Drosophila melanogaster: one gene and its partner. The protein of the gene in region 1 interacts with the protein of each later gene in a pairwise test. Each region holds a gene or a part of one and is shown in the gene's direction. Other genes may lie near its edges. The genes, in order: CG18128 and CG15093.

Region 1 (9,437 bases):
TAAAAAATAAAAAAATAAAAGCTGTCTGGCACTCGAAGCGACACTTTGTCTGCTGATAAAGTGCAACAACACGGCCAACTGCTAAGCGGCAAATGGCAAATGGCAAACAATCATGACAAATTATGAGCTCTGTGTGTCTGTTTGTCTGCGCATTGTGTCTTTGTGCCAATTAATTTATATGGTATAGTTGCCCGACTCCAAGAGATAACGCCCTGCGATGGGAAACCCTTTGAACAATATTGCAAGGAATGCGAAACGCACAGATTGTTCAGCTAATATATGTACCATGGGTGAATGAACTCGCAAACAAAAGCCTAAAATTCTCAGAACTCTAAATTTAAATGCCTAATTTTAGCGAATAGTTTGCGGACATTTATAGACTCGTGCCAGCGATTTATGTGCAAAATACTATCTAGCAAATATATTAAATTAGCTTTAAATTCGATATAAAGTTGACATAACTTTTAAGGCTAAAGGCCGTGGTTTTTGATTCCAACTTCCGGCTGTGGAATTGGGCCACAGGGGAATATCATCAAAGTGCATTGCTGCATTCGTGCGCGATCTCAATCTCAATCACTCGCCCAGCCAGTCAATCACTCAATCAGCTCAATCAAGTCGCCCCTTTGCCACTCGGAACGAGGCGAAAGCCTTTTTGGACTACTGCCAGCGTGCGAATGGCGCACATCTGTTTGTTCTGATATTCGGGTGCTAGCTGAGTGACTGGCCCAAGCACCACCCACACCCACACCCACACCCACACCCACCCACTTGGCCCTCCCCCCAACACCCGCGCACACCACAAATTGTGTATTTTTATACAATTTATATTTTCATTGCGTAAATAAAATTCCTGTCGTGGCGCAGATGGCTGATGGCCGCGGGCTGTTTACGTTCGCTGTCATTGAGTATCGGGCATGATAATTGAAATTATTATTATTATTATTATTATTTCCACTTTGATTCACCAGTGCAGTGCAGTGCCTGATTAAAGTGCAGTCCCAGCCAGCAGGTTGTTCGACCTTTAAAGGCCACAAAGAGATCCTATGGCTTCCTTTGATGGGCTTAACTCTTGCTCTTGATTAACTTCAAATATGTAGTTGCTAATACGCATTGTTTTCGCGGCTAATCAAGCGGTTTGTTCACTTTTCAGCTACTCTAATTGAATTCATTCCGAGTCGCAATTACTCGACATTTGCATCTATTTCGCTGATTAGCTGACCTAGTTCGGCAATCGAGTTCGCCATGAAAACAAAGTGCCAGAGTCGCCAGCTTGGCGTTATCTATTTCATAGCTCTACCGGGTCTATGTCTACACACAGATCCATGTGAGAAATATCGCAGGCTTATCAGTTCTTATCGATGGGGTCTTTCGCAAAAAGTGCCCAGTCCTTTCTGCACACTCACTGCGCATTATAAAGTTGGCAACTCACTTCGGTTACCAACCTACCTACCACCTACTCACATTCCCAGCAACTGATTGTTGTTTTCCCTGCATTTTCCACATTTCCTGCATTTCCCATTTTTATAATTTTATCAGCATGTCTGCAAAAAGAATTTCAAACAAAAGCACGCATTTTTCAAATAACATCCCTTCATATTTGCACTGCGGTTTTAAGTTTTCCTACTCTGGCAAAAGTTAATTACGAAGCTGTGGAAAATGTGCGCCATTCGAAAACACAAAAGCACGTATTACATTTCAGCGTACGTATAGAGTGAAAATCATTTTTGACTGACCAGGCAAAAATATTACGCACCGAGTCTCGTTGGCATCGTTGTTGATTAAAATCTCAGTTTAATAATCACATCATATCATTCAACAGTTGCCACTTGAAACATAATATGCTGTCAATCAGGTTCTAAGTGCACGAGCTTGAGTTAATCACAAATTCGCTTAATAATGCTGCGATATGTGGTTAACATAAGCTTTAACTCAACTAAGCGCCATTTGGGTTAGAAAACCAAACACTCGGCTCTGAATTTGATGGAGACACTCTGCTAATCTTTCCCAGAAAGAGTTGGATAGGATAACTACTTACATCTAAACCACATGAACTTACATCTTGAGAGATTTGTCCCATATCCGCGTAGTAATCGACGGCGTAGTACATGAGTCTGGCGGAGGGATCGAGTCGAGTTGGATGTGGATGCGACGTGTGCTCGGATTCGGAATCAGAGGTCGCAGTCGATTGCAGTTGGTAGCTGCAGCTTCGATCGCAGTGAGAAAATAACCAGTTTTCGCCCGGCTCTTTGTTTATGGAGCCACGAAAGTGGAGCAGCCGCCAAACTGGAAATGCACCAAAGCAGGAGGCTCGTCCGCGGATCGTATAGTACCGAATCGAATCGTATCGTATCGTATCGTATCAGAGCGGATTGGATCGCTGGAGCTGGAGCTGGAGCCAAACCAGATTTTCTTAAACTGCTGCTTCTGATTGCGATGCTGGTCTGGTGTGGTCAGGCTAGGGTCTTCTTCTCTCTGCAGCCAGAGTCCACTATCACTATCAGCGGAATATCCGAGGTCGCGGATTGTGGTTCAAGCACTTGTAGGTGTAGCTCTGGATCCGCAGGACGTTCTTCTCGTCGGTGATGGCTATTCCCCGATTCGAGTGGCTAAAGCATTGGCAGTTGGAGCAGATGATGTTGGTCTGGTTTTTGGTTTTCATTTGTCGTTTTGAGCTGGCGACCCTTCCACTCTGCACGTGCTTGTGCTCCTCAGATGTTGCTAGCTGCGGATGAGAGAAACGATCTTCATTAATTACCATATCACACAGCTTCACAAAGCCCAAGCTCGCTTCCCACAGCAACAACTCGTTTGCGGTTCTCCGCCGCCTTCAATTAGCATTCAAATGCCAGTCAAAATATTCACTTTTCGTCGCTTTCTTTTTTTCAGCTTTTTCGGTTTGGGTTTTGGTTTTGTTTGAGCATTTCTTGTTGGCTCTACTGCCGTGTATTTAGCGGGCCTGCACAGACAGCGTAAAATCGCGCAATGCCAAAAATAAAAGGCAAACAACGGTCACAAAGCAAAACGCAGCACAAAAGTTGGTAAACAAACTGGGAGCTGCGAGTTGGGAACTCGGAACTGGCAACTGGGCAACTGGGCAACTGGATAACTGAGCACTGGGAATGGCCGAAACGGGTTCGCTCCTCTTCCTGGGGCAAGGTGAGATTTCGAAAAAAAATAATAATAATAAAAGAATGTGAAAAACAAAAAACAATAATGGAGCGGCGGGTGAATGTGAAACCGAAATTAATATCAACTGCAAACAGGGCATTTTTGGCAGGCTGGCGCAAAGTGACAAACAAATAGCCAACCGAAAGTGGGCAAAGATATGGGGGCTACAAAGAAACAAGCCTAACAATGGGCACAACAAGCCGAAACAAGGCATTCAGATACACACACATTTGGACTCAGATTCTCAGATACAGATTCAAATTCAGGTTCAGATACATTTACAGATACAGATACAGATACGGATACAAAGTCGGGGAAGTAAACAAACAAATGGAAAACAGATGATAGAGTTACAGGCCCGGATGATCTCTTGCGGTTTTTGGCCCCGCATCGAAGCCTCGTCATCGTCACCGTAGCCAGCAAGGCGAATCACACAAACGTGACTCTGACATTGTAGGCGGCTGCACTGGAATAACAAAATAGCAAATAGCCCACAAATCGGGAAAAACAATCGGCGACAAAGGCTGCTTTTGTAACCCAAGCCATTTGGCGCGCACTCGAATAACATAAACAGCGCTACAAAGTTTCCTATTAATAATTTTTTATTATCGACCACGTCACGAGCATACTAAACGCTTCGCCGATTCCCCAATCCCAATCCCAAACCCCATACCCATCCGAATCCCGCCAAGTCGCACGAATCGACTTCGAACAGCTGGCCAGTGGATTCGTTGACAGAGGTGGTCATGGTAAACATGGCCGAGACAATGTAGCTGCTTTTCGCTGGTTGGCCCAACTAATTAGCGAAAGTATTGAGCCAAGCCTCGGCCTGGTCCAGTCTACACCAGCACACTCCAGACAGGCGATGCACTGGCAGAATAAAGGGCGCACTTTCTTTCATTTTTCACACAGAGAAGGAGTAAGTACACTGTGTGCACTTTTTAATGTTTTCTTCTTCTTAACTGCATTGCAATGATAGGATCGCTAGAATGAGATGCCACTTACAGCACCCCGATTCATCTCAGTGTAGTCTTGAGTGTCTAGTTTACCGCCAGTTCCGAATCTCCGAATGGACGTATTTAATTTATCCACTCACACCAGCACTCCAATCGCTAGCTGTGCCATGGATGCGATGCTGTAAACGAACTCTGGCGTGTGGTGACATTGAACGGCATCCACAACACACAAACACACAACAAGTAAACAACGGCCGGGGCGTTGCCTATGTGCCGCCATGCGTATGAGCGTTATTATCACGTATACGTATGGTAAACATGGTAAACAGCATCTTCCCCGCCCACAGCGGCGGCAGCATGGGCGTGGCACCGTCGACGCTGATAATTAAATCTATTTCGCACTGTCTGTTTGAGCTTAAAGACTCCGATTGAACTTTGGAAAGTGAAAACTAGGGAAAATAAAAGAGAAAAGCGCTCCACGCTTCTACATATTGCATGTAACTGATTAGAGTTAGCTTGGATGTTCCAAAGTTTTTTCATTTGTTTTGTTAACTAGGGAAAAACAAACAAAAAATGCCCCCTTTTCGGAAAACTGTTGTTTTATGATTTAATGCAGTTTTTGGCCCTCGCTTTTGGAAACGAACTTTGTGAACAGCTGGATTTCGGAATTCATCAGCCAATTTTAACCAGACGTCATGGCGCGCTTTTGTGGTTTTGTTTTTCGACCAGACCCTGGCTTTTTGTTTTTAGCGTCATTCGATTCGAGTCACACCTCCTGTTTTCCGCGGACTTAATAAATCGTTGATTTATTTCTGCCGTCAATACATGGTTTAATTCTTATTTAAGCCTCTCACACACAAACAGCCCTAAGCTATGCCCTAAAAGTCATCTTTTGAGTATTTTCCAAAAAATTCGAAAATTGGTGAAGTTTCGCACCCATTTGGCGACCCATCCTACTCAAAATGTGCAACTACGACTGCTGCAAGTCCAGGTCGCCGATTGCCAAGCGAATGGCGGCCAGGAAGCTTCTGCAGATGGAGGAGGAGGAACGCCGGAAGCCCAAGCTGGTCATCCCGACGCCCCAGAGCCTCTTCTACCCCTTCGAGGAAGTCGAGGCCATGGCCAAGTACATCGTGAACGTTAGCCACATCAGGCCAAAGTACGGACTAATCTGCGGCAGCTTCCTGAGCGATATGGTCAGCTTGGTGGAGCAGCCGGTGGTCATTCCCTACGAGGACATACCCAACTTCCCCGACGGCATAGAGCCGGACTGCAGCTTCGTCTTGGGCACGGTCATGGGAGCGCCCATAATAGCGCTGGTCCACAGTTTCCACTCCTGCGACGGCTACAACCTGGCCACCTGTGCGCTGCCCGTCCGCGTGATGCAGTTGTGCGGGGTCAGGACCATCATGCTGACCTCTGAAGCAGCGGCCGTAGATCACGGATTCGCCCTGGGCGACATAATGCTTGTCCAGGACCACATCAATGTGGTGGGCATGATGCACCAGACGCCGCTAGAGGGTCCCAGTGATCCGCGCTTTGGCAGCCGCCGATTCTCGATGGTGAACGCATATGACAAGGACCTGCTGGAGAAGGCACTCGAGATTGGCAAGCGAATGGGCATCCAGAAGTTCCTGCACAGCGGCGTCTTAGCCTGCATGGGAGGTCCCATTCTCGGCACTGTGGCCGAGGAGCGAATGCTGCGGACAATGGAGGTCAGTGCCGTGGGCATGTCCCTGGTGCCCGAGGTTATAGCCGCCCACCACGGCGGCCTGAAGGTGCTCGCCTTTGTGGTTATCAGCAGGGCGGCCAGCGACAAGGAGAGCGAGGAGAGCGATAAGGACAAGGAGAAGGACACTGACAGGGACTCCAAGCAGGATAAGCGAGAGCAGGATTCCCAGGAGCCTGTCCCCCTCCCAAGACTGCAGGCCTGCTCCGATCTGATCGGCCGACTTATGTACTGCATGCACCTCGAGATCTGACGATCGAAAATAGACTTCTCGAAGCCCCATCCGACTTCTTCTGTTCGGATTCCTATTTTCGGTGCGGCCAGTGGTGCTGCCAACGCGGAAATAGCCACAGGTGCAGCTGTTGGCGCAATCTTCTCGGCGAAGAGTTGTCGCCTAGGGGGGAGGTTTCAAAATGTGTGATCTGAGATGGCCAAGTGGGAAGTGTGAGGTGTGAGGTGTGAGTTGTGAGGTGCGAGTGTGCCCGGTGTCACTCTGTCTAATGGACGCCCCAAATGGCCAGCCATCAAAAGTAGAGAGTGCAGAGTGCACACGGGCCGTATACGTAATTGTCCAATGCTCGGGCTCGGGCCAGCTGTAAAGTACATTTAATGGCAATTAGACGGCATAGAAAGCCGAGCTACTCTGTTGCACGTCTACTTGGCATAGTAGAGTAATGTATCAATTAATCGGCTAAGAGGCTTACGAGTCCGCGTTATCAGAACGTCGCTAAATGCCCTCCTCTGTTGGCCAGTGACAGTGGACGAGGCTCCCTGCGAGCCAACTTCCCGCAGATTAGCCTGTTTTGTAATGGCCATTACAAACTTGCACTGCCAGCGCTTCTTTGTTCGTCATTGTGGCTAATTTTATTATTCGCCATTGTGCGGCAGCTGCAGTAGCAGCGCGATGACGAACGGCGATTGCGCTGCTTATTGACGCTGATTGTTCAGATACAAGTGCATATATGCATGCATGTACATATGTATGTAGTGGGGGTATGTATATGTGGGCTATGGCGACCGCCACGAGCTGTTTGCCTTGCAATTTGCTATTCGCGCTCGTCGCTTTGCTTTCAGCTGTTTTCAGCTGTGCGATCATGCGGCTAGAAAGCTACATTTTCCCCGGCCTGCACCGATTTTTCGCCGATTTCCCCCGGTTTCTCGTCCGATCTCGTCCGATTTCGTCCGATTTCGACCGATTTCGACCGATTTCCCCGACTGAGATTTGGGCCTGCGGCACTACGCTAATGAGTTTTCAGCGGCCAGTTCGTTGACCCCGCTGCATAAACTCATATTGATTGCAACTTGCCACCGAATTGCAGTTCTGACTGCGATTCATGCGGCCAGTTCAGTGCACTGACATTATGCACAGTTTTATTTTGGGTGCCATGAGTGCGTGAGTAACGGTGTCAGCTGACTCGCAGATGCAGATCTGCATCACCAGATAGAAAGATGCAAAGATACAAACACATTCTGGCATTTCAATTGCCCTGGGTGCAACATCTGCCCGCTATTTTGGCAACTCAATTGTCAACAAGGATCTAATTCCGATCTTCGGCTGACGCAATCCAAATGGCAGGCAGATGCCGATAGGAGTGCTGATATTATGCTAATTATAATGCCACGGGCTAATTATAATGCCAACTGATGAAATATCCATACCATTAATTTAAGCTAAGTTGAAGCAAAGTTGTATTTAAAACTAATGTGATTCCATTAGTTTCTTGATAGATAAATCCAACCCCAATTATTCGGCTGCATGGGGAATTAGAATTTCGCACACAAAATTACTTTTGCATTGTAATTATTATTCGGTTGTAATGCAATTTGCCCACTTACATACAGAAATCCACAAATATTCGCACACAATTTGCAGAGCAGCGGCAGTAAATGAATAGAAATCTGAATTTGGCAGTTGCTATGGCTTTTCCAAAGAACTTCTAATCGTACTTGACCACCATAAACAATATTTGGCGATTAGATTTTTTATATATTCACTTGACTTAAGTCGGGCCAATCGCCATTTATTAGGCTACTGATATACTGATATGGATGGTGAGTTATGTGCGCTGTGAGGGAAATCCATTTGATTAGTTATTGAAACTCTTTTAATTAAGTCTTTACAATTATGGGTAAGTCAGAAAGTTTCCCACTTGGATTATGCTTGCAGTTAGCTGAAGAACATGCGTAAATACCCTTGAATCTGAAGCATGGGAAAACGGCATGGAAAATACTCAGTTTTGTTTGTGACTACTTGTAATAAGTAGGTAAAAGTAGAAGATTGCACAAATTAACGGCAAGCAAGCTTAACAGACTGCAGTTGCAATTGTGTTGCTGCTGCACTTGCTGCAGTTGTAGTGGCTGCTGCAGTTGCTGTTGCGAGTTCAGTCACCTCGTCTTGCGCCCATAGAAATGACTATGATTAAAGCAGCATTCGCGGATACAACAAACAACACAACTTTTAAACTATCCGCATTAAACATGAAATAATGTACTAAACTTTCAATTTACTTATTTGAATCTGTTCAAATAAGTGCTTAAATAAACTTTTATCGAATTACTGGAATCTGCGAAGCGTACAGCTGATCGAATTAATAATGGTAGTGGCCGCAGGTCATTGGAAGGACCATGACTGTTGTTTTTGTCGCAAAAGGACGAATTCGATTGAGTTTACAGACCGATTCAGTTGTTTCTGGCGCTCGAAAGCCGCTTAACTGATTGCAACATTGATGGAAGCACATATCAATTGCCCTCTCAGCCGATGGTTCAAGTGATTTCCCATCACACACTCGTACACCCAATCACTCAACACACATAAACACACACACAAGCACAAGCGGCAATCTTAATGCGCCTGGCAACAACTAAAAGACATCAACAACATCGCGAGCAACAGTTGTGCGAGTGCGAGTGCATGAGTATCTGTATCTGCGTGAGTATCTGTGTGGCGCGCGCCAGTGTGTAGAGTATCTGTGTGCGACGGCTACATAGCAACCGTTTATCATAATTGGCATTAACTGCCAGCCATTCCTCAATTCTTTTCGGCCCGTAGCATTACGTATACGCCGGGATGGCCGATGGCCTGGCATGGCGAAGAGAATTCATTGCCGAGCAGGGGCCTTAATTCGCAGGCTCAGTTCGTTTTCGTTCTTCTTGTTTGTCTGCGAATTACGCCCATGTCGGCGTACTTGATTGTTTCACCGCATGTATTGTACGAGTGTAACAATGGATAGTATCGTGTGTATGGCCGCAAGGACCATGTCATTTGCAGTGCCGAACATTTAACTCGAATGCTGCCCGACAAGCTGCCTAATTAGTGGATGGCCAACTCGAAATAGAACTGGAAAAAGCTGAAGCCGCGAGAAGCGGGTAATGGAAACCGTAAACAAACGCAGCCAGCAAAGTGAACAAATGCCCTCAGCAGTTTACCAAAAACCGCGTGCGAGGCTTCGCCTTCGCAGTGGGGCGGAAAGAGAGGGCGAAACGCTCGGCAAGCGAACACGCCGCCTAATTTAGATTCCCGTGCGGTAGGTCAAGTGCCAATTTCCTCAACTTGAAGTTGTGTGGCAGCAGCAAATCCAATACTG
Region 2 (9,612 bases), 4.9 Mb from region 1:
CATTATGCATTGGGTAACCCAAACGAGATGCTCGGACGCTTTTCAATCGCATTTTTTTTTCAATTTCAATTTTCCAGCGGCAATTGCGACGGGCGATGAGTGCATTGACAGGAGCAGCAACATCGTCGCCGCAAATCCAATCAGTCAACTTGTCATAACGCCTGCCCACCTGTCTGTCCGTGTGCCTCACCTGCCGCCTCAGGTGGGCGTGAGTTATGTGCGGACTGATGACGTACGAGGAAGGTTTCCACCTCATGGCCTAAGTTATGTGACGGGATCTCTTGGCGTTCGGAGATCATTCAACCGCGACTCGCGTCTTGAACTTCCGCTGAATGTTATTTAGTTGGCTTGCAACTCTGTTTCTAGAACAAAGCACTTTCACCTGCCTCGCAGATAGAGAATCAAATTCAATCGAATTCAATTGGCAGCCAATGGTTGGGGGACGGCAATTAGCGTTGACCTTTTCACAGGTGTCTCACTGAAATGGCTCACACGCCCAAGGTGGCGCTGCCAAATGGCAAAGGTAACAGATCGCGACCTTCAGGCCCCTGTTTATGAATGGCTTTTCCCAAGCTCTTTGCGCATTTTCCGCGACGTATGCGGAAAAGAGTAACGAGATTTGCATAAAATTCGACACGAATATTTCCCACACTCCGACATAAAATAGATCAACTTAATTGGACATGTTTTTATGGCATAATTCAGACCAATTAGACGTAGAATCTTTTGGGCCAGGTGCAGATAAACCGTCGCTTGTGATTCGCAACTGATGCTGATGCAACGCTGACAAGAAGACATAAATATCACTTATGCAATCGAAAGGAGAGAGCTGGATTGTCGATGCGTCGACGCATCGAGAGCCAAATGCATTTAGGCTCACGAAAGTAAGACAACTTTTTGCCGCTGCTCTGCCCCTCGGGTGATGCCCAAAATGCTGGCTATTTGGTGCTTTTGGCCATAAAACGCTTCCTGCTCCCGCTGCAATGCACTGCAGCAGTGCGCTGGTCAAAATGTGGTCGAAATCTGGAAAACTGGATTGCCAGCGGAGAGCCTCTCGAGCCGAGAGGCATCGCTAGTTTCCTTCCTTGTGTGTGGATTTGGGTTAGCCAAACATTTATCTGCCGCTCGAGCTGTTGGTTTTTATGTTGATGTCGCCGCTGGTCGAGATTGGGGGATACAAATCAGGAGGGAGAAGTGTATCAGTGGGTGAAAACAGCGGGAAATTGGTCCGAACAATGGGGTTTTAATCAGCTCATTATGTACGGGTTTAGTTTTCCTTGTTTTTAGACGGTCTCTTTTAATTGGTAATGTGCATTTTCAAGTGTTGCGCTTGTCGATCATAAATTAATTACCGTTTTTCTTGAGGATAATAAATCTTTTTTATACATTTCAGAGTTCATATGCTCCCAAGCAATTCGAAGAGCATTCATTCTCCGCATTTCTCTTTCCTCAACTGGATTGTTGTTTTTTTTTTGGTTCACTCTGCCAACTGCAATTAAAATTTTGTAATACGGTGACCAAAAAAGCAAAAAAGATGGAAAATATAACCCAAGCACAAACAACATCGCGATGAAAAATTACGACAAACAGAAAAACACATTCGCTCTAAACGGTCGCATGGAATGTGTGTTTTGTCGGGTAGCGAATAATTTGACCACTTTCAAAAATGATTTTCAATTTCACTAAACTATAGACTGTAGGCCAGGGTGTCGGCAATTGGTAACTAAGTGCGGAGATACATATGCGAACACATAATAATTATGCATGCGGCGTATTAAAAAGCGCGAACCTTAGAAACGATTCAAAAACTCAAGCCGAATGAAATCGAAAATGAATTGAATCGAATTGAGTTGAGTTGGATTGTGGCTGTGGCTGCGGGGGGATGATAATTTCACTTTCCTTTCCCAAACTTGCTGCAGTGACTCCAACTGCATTTCAATTTTCCGCATTGGGCGTGTGTGAGTGTGAGTGTGTGTGTTTTCAGTTAGTTTTTCATTTTCATATCGTTTTGGAGTGGTCTCTTCAGTTGGCATGTTAATGTAGGTCCGAACGTACATACATTCGATCGAGAGCAGAGCAGAGCGAAAGTCCAGCAGTGACGTCTAGCACAGGGAAACAATTAAATCCCATGAAAGTGATTATCGAACGCAATTTCACTGCCAAAATTTCTGGCTTAATGTAATTTCAATTACGTGCTGGCCGGAAACGAAATCGAAGACAGGCTGAATGAAAAATGTCAGTAGTCGCTCACGATGTCACAACCGTTGGCTGGCAAATTACATGGTAATGTGTTCCTCGCTGACTCACGGATCTACGCGGTGGCATGCAGATTGTTGCGACCTGTCGCATTCATCAAATTGCGTGCAGCCGGCTGAAGACGGGTCAAGAAACCAGATCCAGGCGAGATACAGTCCGATTCGCAGATACAAGATACAAAATGAATGTTCATGAATAAGAAAACTTAAGACACGAGGGAGAATAGAAACACTTTGAAATCTATAAATCAAAATGTTATTTTAAAGTTATGATTAGGGAATTAATGATGAGGACTTACATACCCCCAGCAATCAATTATGTAAAGTTGTATCGTTAAATATATATACATACATAAAATCTATTATATTTTTTTCCCGCCTGTAGGACATTCCTATGCTCCTCCACTGTAATGATTGCTTATAACGCAATGTTTGCGGGCGAATAAAATTCAATCGCAATGTGATTCAATTCAAGTGCACGCTCTTTTCTGTTTTCTGTGTTTTGTGATTAGTGATTTGTGGGTGCGCGCTGTTGACGATGAGTGAAATTTCGCTGTCTGCCTATGTTTGACATGGAAATTAGTAGCGGCAAACGTTGGTGTGCGACCGCAGCGAAGAAATGTTATAATGTCTGCCTAATGAGCTTGGCACACCGCTGCGTATACTTGATGTACGATATACGCATAAGAGTGTGTACAAATGCCATGAACATGAACATTTTCCAAAGCCAAGCCCAAATGGTCCACTTGAAGCTTGTAGTTTTGCGCTTTAATGCTTCACTTCGCTTGTGGCTTCTTTGGCGCCTTTGGCTTTTTAATATTATTTTTTTTTCACTTTTACTTGTAAATTGTAAATTGTTTCAAAGAGACGCGCTCTCACCTGTATTTGCTGTTGTTTCGGCCCATATTCGTGTTAATCATTCGCTGAATTGCACTTTATGGCGTTAGATAAGGGTCTTGCCGCTATTTTGACAATTGACAAGCGATTATATAAGCGAGCGCTGCTGGGCAGCCGATGTCCCCCATTCGATGTGATTTTTGCGCCATTGTCGCGATCTCGATCCGCTCCACTCCCCAAATTGAAATGCACTTAGGCGATCGACGGATGCTGCAGACGCGCTGACATAGATAAATCACCAAAAAATCATCATCATCAGTGCGAACACAGAGAACGGTGATATCCAATACACATTTATACATAGTTACATCTGCGATATGGCTATTTACTGCCACCCTTATTCAAATAATATTTCTGAAAATCATTCATAGAAGTGGTTATGTCGAAAATATAGCCAATATACATACTTTATTTCAGTTGTTTCTGTTTTCTTTTGATAAGCATAACTCAGTTGGCTGACAACGAGGTCCGTGGGATTGCGTAAGATCGGAGCCACGACAGGCGGGCCGTAAATTGGACGAGATTTTGCGAAACGCAGCTCGAGCAGTTGCAATTTCATGCATGCCGATTTTTATGCGAGCACCAACATTAAAAAAAAAACAACAACAACAACTTCAGCAACAGCATCGAAACCTTATGACCATTGTACAATTTGGGCGAAAAAAAAAACTATCTGCGCCAATTGAGGTTCGGAAAGCAGTGATAAAAATAGCACAAGAAAACAAAATCGCGAAACATCAAATTGTTTATTGTGGGATCAAGTATTGGCAAAGCCCTAGCGCAAGAAAGTTGCAAAAATAAAAACATTATAAAGTCTTGGGTATACAATAACGATCCTCAGATACACTTACAAATTGTACAACAAAATGTATATGTACTTCCCTGTTCACCGAATAAATACAAGCACTAATTAATTAATTTTGTTTTAACTAATTTTTACAATGGTCATACCTTTTACAATGCAGCTTAAAATGATTACCCATTAAGTTGGGTCTTTCAAGGTCTAAGGTCTTTTCAGTTATTAGGCTATAAAATTATGGTAGATTAAGGTATCACTGGTATCTCTGTTTGTGAAGCGAAATAAGCCCTTGAAGTGAGTGTAAAATGAAACATCAGTTTGGAAATTGCTCGTGTGAATTTAGTTATGCACGATATTTCACGCAATTGAAGCCATTCGCATGTTGCCCTTCATTCATTCATTCAGTTGAGGAAAGAGGCATCGAATGAAGATTGCTTCGAAGGGATAAATTATGTTTTAGTTTTTTAAGTTTAATAAATTCAATCGTTCTAGATGCTTTACTTTAATTTTCACTTGAATTGAAACTGCACAACCAGCGTAAAAGCTTACAGTTTTGGAGCCTCTGGTCTGGGCACTCAACGTCAAACCGACACACCCACAAATTTCTATACACCCCCCGTCAAACACACACACAAGCCCCCACATACGCCGAAGGTCAATGAAAGTAAATAAAATCGAAAGTTTTGCCCAGATTGATAAGCGAAACCAGCGGCACGTGTCGCTCACATATAACATAAATCAAATAAAAGCATTGGAAAGACCAGAGCTGAAAAGCTTTTGCCGGCGTCACTGGAACTCAAGATAAAATATATGTATAATGTGCTAACCATATGGTTGATAGCTAGCAGAGCTACTTGTTGAGAACTTGTTTTGATCTAGCAGAGTTGTCGCGACTTCAGAAGAATTATATATTATATTTTATTATATTATTATATTATATATATTGATATATATTTAAGTTTTTTAAAGATTTTTAAAATATATAAAAAGTTAATATTATTACTTATTGTTTAACATATCGAACTTTTCCAAATAAATAAATAAATAATTAATAGATATAAAGATTTGTTTGGAAATGGTTTTACTATATTAATTCAATGTATTAATTAATTAATATTAATTAGTGTAGCCGACAACCCTCGAGCGGCCGCTGGAATGAGCTGAAAATAAGCGACCTTCCAACAGCAGGGAGCAGTGTGCTTCTGACAGCGGTCCGATCACGTAGAACTTTTGCAGTTTCAGCCGTATCCCCTTAGATTTCTTACACCAACAGGTGGGTGAAATCTGGTGGCTAGTTGCCTATTTGAAGTGATTACATAACACTGTAGAACTTTTCGCAGACATGTCGCTCCGTGTGATGTCCCCCGCTATGCTGAATGCCTGGAGCCAGACCCTCGTGAGGGCCATGTCCACCCAGGGCGGAGCCAAGAACATCGGCTTCGTGGGTCTGGGCAACATGGGTGCCAACATGGCCAGCAATCTAATCAAGGCCGGCCACAAGCTGCATGTCTTCGATATCTCCAAGCCCGCCTGCGATGGTCTGGCCGCCAAGGGAGCCACCGTCTACGCCAAGACCTCGGAGCTGGCCAAGAACTCGGACTTTGTGATCACCATGCTGCCGAACAATGCCATTGTGGATGCCTCCTACGATGAGATGACTGCCGATGGCGTCAACAAGGACACCATCTTCATTGACTCGTCGACGATCTCGCCGGATTTGGTCAAGTCGTTGCAGAAGAAGATCAGCGCCAAGGGAGCTCGGTTTATCGATGCCCCCGTTTCCGGCGGAGTTCCCGGCGCCGAGCAGGCCACCCTCACCTTCATGGTGGGCGGCACCGAGGCGGAGTACAATGCCGTCAAGGCCGTCCTAGAGTGCATGGGCAAGAAGATCACCCACTGCGGCGTCTATGGCATGGGCCAGGCCGCCAAGCTGTGCAACAACATGATGCTGGCCATCTCGATGATCGGTGTTTCGGAGGCCATGAATCTGGCGGTGCGCCAGGGTCTCGATGCCAATGTCTTCGCCGAGATCATCAACTCCTCCACCGGACGCTGCTGGGCCTCGGAGATCTACAACCCTGTGCCCGGAGTCTGCCCCAGTGCCCCAGCCAACAGGGACTACGCCGGCGGTTTCTCCTCGGCTCTGATCACCAAGGATCTGGGTCTGGCCTCCGGAGTGGCCAACGCTTCCAACTCACCCATCCCGCTGGGATCTCTGGCGCACAAGGTCTACCAGTCGCTGTGCGATAAGGGTCTGGGCAACAAGGACTTCTCCGTGGTGTACGACCTGATGAAGAAGGAGAAGTTCAGCGTTTAGGTTACTCACAGACTACAGGTTGTGGTGGCCACAACCACGTCATGTCCACATCCAAACCAGTCCTGCATTTAAATATAGCACTAAGTTCCCTCTATTTCGATTTCTATTGTGACTGTTCCCTGTTCTATGCAAATAATACGTACATATATTAAAGACGTATCGTATTGAGTGAAAAAGTTCCATGCTGTTGCGTAATCGTGGGGCTGGTCTGATTAGGTCTGGGAATCGTCTGACGAACGGAACTCCGAGTGCTGATAAGCACCTACAAAAAAGCATCTGGGTTGCTATATTTTATTGCCACTTATGAGACCCCTGCAAATACAATTCCTGATTAGGGGTTATCTCCAGCACTCGTGGCATTAGATTCCACATGGAGATCGTTTTTAATTCATAAAGCTTGCCAGGTAAACAGAGCATAGAGTCGAGCAAAACAAACAACATTGAAAGATCCCAATGGAAATTATGGCGTGGTTATCAAAAGCTCACGGATTGAGAAGCACTGGCGGAATGTTTCGCAAAGTAATTTTATGTGGGTAGCACTAAAACTTACAGTTTGAATGGCTCTTTGTTGACATACTTTTTGAGATGGGTACAATCTAATAAGAAAACATATATAGATATAAGGATTTGCATATTAAATTCTCACAGCTTTAGTAACTATGTTTAAATATTAATATTTGTTTACCGAAAAAATGGGGATTCGTTTTATAAAACGTAGAGATAAGTAGTGGAACCACTCTGATAAGCCATATCAAAGAGGGGTGTTTATTTAAGTGGCTAGTTCGACACTCACACATCCCAGCTTTTATCTTCTAATAATTTTCTGCCACAGAAAGCTTAATTGGCAAGTAAACAGAGGACCGAGCAAAACAAACAACTGTTTTGTGGCAACTGTAGAATCTGCATAGAACCCAGACAGTTACAGCTCTACAGTTTTAGCATCACTCCGCACAGTGGTCAATGTATTTTTCAAAGCGACATATTTTGAGCGAAATCCAAAAATATTTTTATTTTTACAATCATATATATATATATATTTAAAAATAACAAACTTAACTTAGGTGCTAATTAATTAATTGAGTTGGTATGTATGTATATAAAAACTTTGTTGTTGCTCTTTTTGTGGGGTATAAAATAGTTCAACTATCTAAAATGTATCAAATCGATCAATCGGAGTGGGTTACATAGAAATTAATTTATATTTATTTGTATAGCTGGGCCGGGGCCTTTTAAGAGCTGATTATCCTAGACAAAGTTAATAATTATATGTTTTAGAAAATGTTTTGAACAATCTTTCCGAGTGAAATAATTACAATCAATTTGGTTAGGATAAGGCTTAATTAGGTATATATGTAAAGGTATATAATGAAAAAGCGTCCTTAAACGAGTCGAGTGCAATCGAGTGGTAAATTGTAAATGGAGTTTGGGGGAAACTTCTGTGCGGTACGGAGCTTCCGTGGTTTAAGTCACATTAAGTAGTAAGCCTAGTTGCAAAATTCTTTGAAAATATCACAAATTGAAATACACAATAAATAATTAATCGCATTTGGATTCGCGCAAAAAGGAATCTGGTAGTTAGCAATTTGAGTTTTGGTAAATATTCGAATAGATCTTTGAGAGAGGTTACCTTAGGTACATGCAATGTTTCAATAGATTCCTATTTATATCCGCTATCATTGTGTATGTACATAATCGCTTTGTGTAAATAGTTTGAGTTCTGCGCACATTTACATTAATATTCTCATTTTCTGTGTATATATATATATATAATTATATTAAAATAAGTAAAGCAATTTTGTGCTGCATAATTGAGTCAAGGTGAATTGCGTGTGTTGTTTCCTTCTATGGGTGGAACTGGTTGACTTCGATTCTTAACTAGCTAACTAACTTTGGTGTCTAATTGAATTCGCTATGGCTCAGACTGAGGCTCTTGGCCTGGCCAAACTTGTGCTTCAACTGGCTGGTGTTGGCCCGGAAGCGCTGCATCAACTGCTGCTGCCTTCCGCCGTATCCGGATCCCGATCCGCTTCCTCCTGCTGCTCCTCCTAGTGCGCTGGACTGCAGCGGCGAAAGGGACGCCATTGCCGCATCAGCGCTGGTTATGGACTATGATCCTTTCAGTTTCTTCTTGGGATTGTTGCGCGTCTGATCGGTGGGTGCCGATGGTGGCAGCTCTCGATATTGATTCTGCAATAAATATTATTATTATTTATAGCAAATGCAGCTAGTTAAAAGACCACTTACAATCTCCTCATTATCTGGCACTCGCGAGAGGAAGTCCAATAGCTCGTTGTTGGGAATGGTATTGGGTCTCAGCAAACGTCTGGAGAACTTCATCAGGCCCCAAAAGAGCAGCAGCCAGCGGAGCGGGACAAAATGCAAGACCAGAATGGCGCCCAATAGCAAAACCACAGCCAGCCAGGTCAGTTCGGGGACGGAAAAGTTGAATGTGCTGGTGATTACAAAGTGTTCATATAGACTGTGATGCATCTCATAAATAACAATAAAGTTTACTTAATGGTGCTCTCGCCTAAAGAAGCCAGGTAGCCGATGGTATTCTGTACCGTTTGGGAGACTTCTTGAATGGCCTGTAATCTCTCCTTGATGGACTTCTTTTCCTCCTTCTCCTTGTCATCATCATCATCTTCATCGTACTCATAGTCGTAGTGAGCAGCTGCATCTGTGGTGCCCGTTATAAGGCGAACCAGCCAGTTTCTAAATTAAAATTGTTGAGTATTTGGATCTCTCTGAATCTCTTACTTAATTACTTACTTAAGTATGATGAGCAGTAGAACTAGAGGTACTGTCTCCAGATCGCCGTAGACACAGGCGACTATCCAAAAGACGAAAGCTATGCTGGATCGCACAGGAGATTCCCACTCGAAACAGCTCCTTTAAAAAAACAGGCAGTGAATTATAAAGAAATTGTAATTGGAACCCTATACACTCACTGGACATAGCGCGCTGCATCTAGGATATCCATGATTATCTCCTTGAGTCTATTGACGTTGCGCAGGAAGAGCTGTCGCTTGAACTTGGCCTCCTGCTGGATGAGCTTTTCCTCCTTGGGCTGCAGGGCTCGACACACGGCACGGATCTCGCTCCAGACTACCGTCAGTTCCAGCTGAATTTGCGGTGAGTTTCCTTTGGCCCGCACACAGAGATTCTTGTCCTTCAGCGTATACCATCGCTTGACTCCACTTTTGATCCTTAGGAGGGGAATGACTAGCTTGCCCAGGAACTCTACGCGATGGTCGCGATCCTCATCGAAAACGGTGATCTCCAGGACCTGCGTGATGTCTTTAACATTGCTACAAAGCGAATTAAATAATTTTTTTTAGCAA

What was found.
Region 2: the proteins of CG18128 (region 1) and CG15093 interact in a two-hybrid assay, tested with the Drosophila melanogaster proteins (one large-scale study listed by BioGRID).

Annotation. Positions count from the first base shown.
Region 1 is NT_033778.4:23,715,495-23,724,931, reverse strand, and holds CG18128 (uncharacterized protein), read left to right. Parts: upstream 1-4,995; 5' UTR 4,996-5,086; coding exon 5,087-6,106; 3' UTR 6,107-6,134; downstream 6,135-9,437. Other genes in the region: Sesn (sestrin), read right to left, coding at 2,057-2,107; CG46429 (uncharacterized protein), read right to left, coding at 2,498-2,659.
Region 2 is NT_033778.4:18,772,506-18,782,117, reverse strand, and holds CG15093 (uncharacterized protein), read left to right. Parts: upstream 1-5,139; 5' UTR 5,140-5,293; coding exon 5,294-6,268; 3' UTR 6,269-6,449; downstream 6,450-9,612. Other genes in the region: Mctp (multiple C2 domain and transmembrane region protein), read right to left, coding at 8,375-8,455, 8,513-8,720, 8,783-8,983, 9,041-9,160, 9,220-9,579.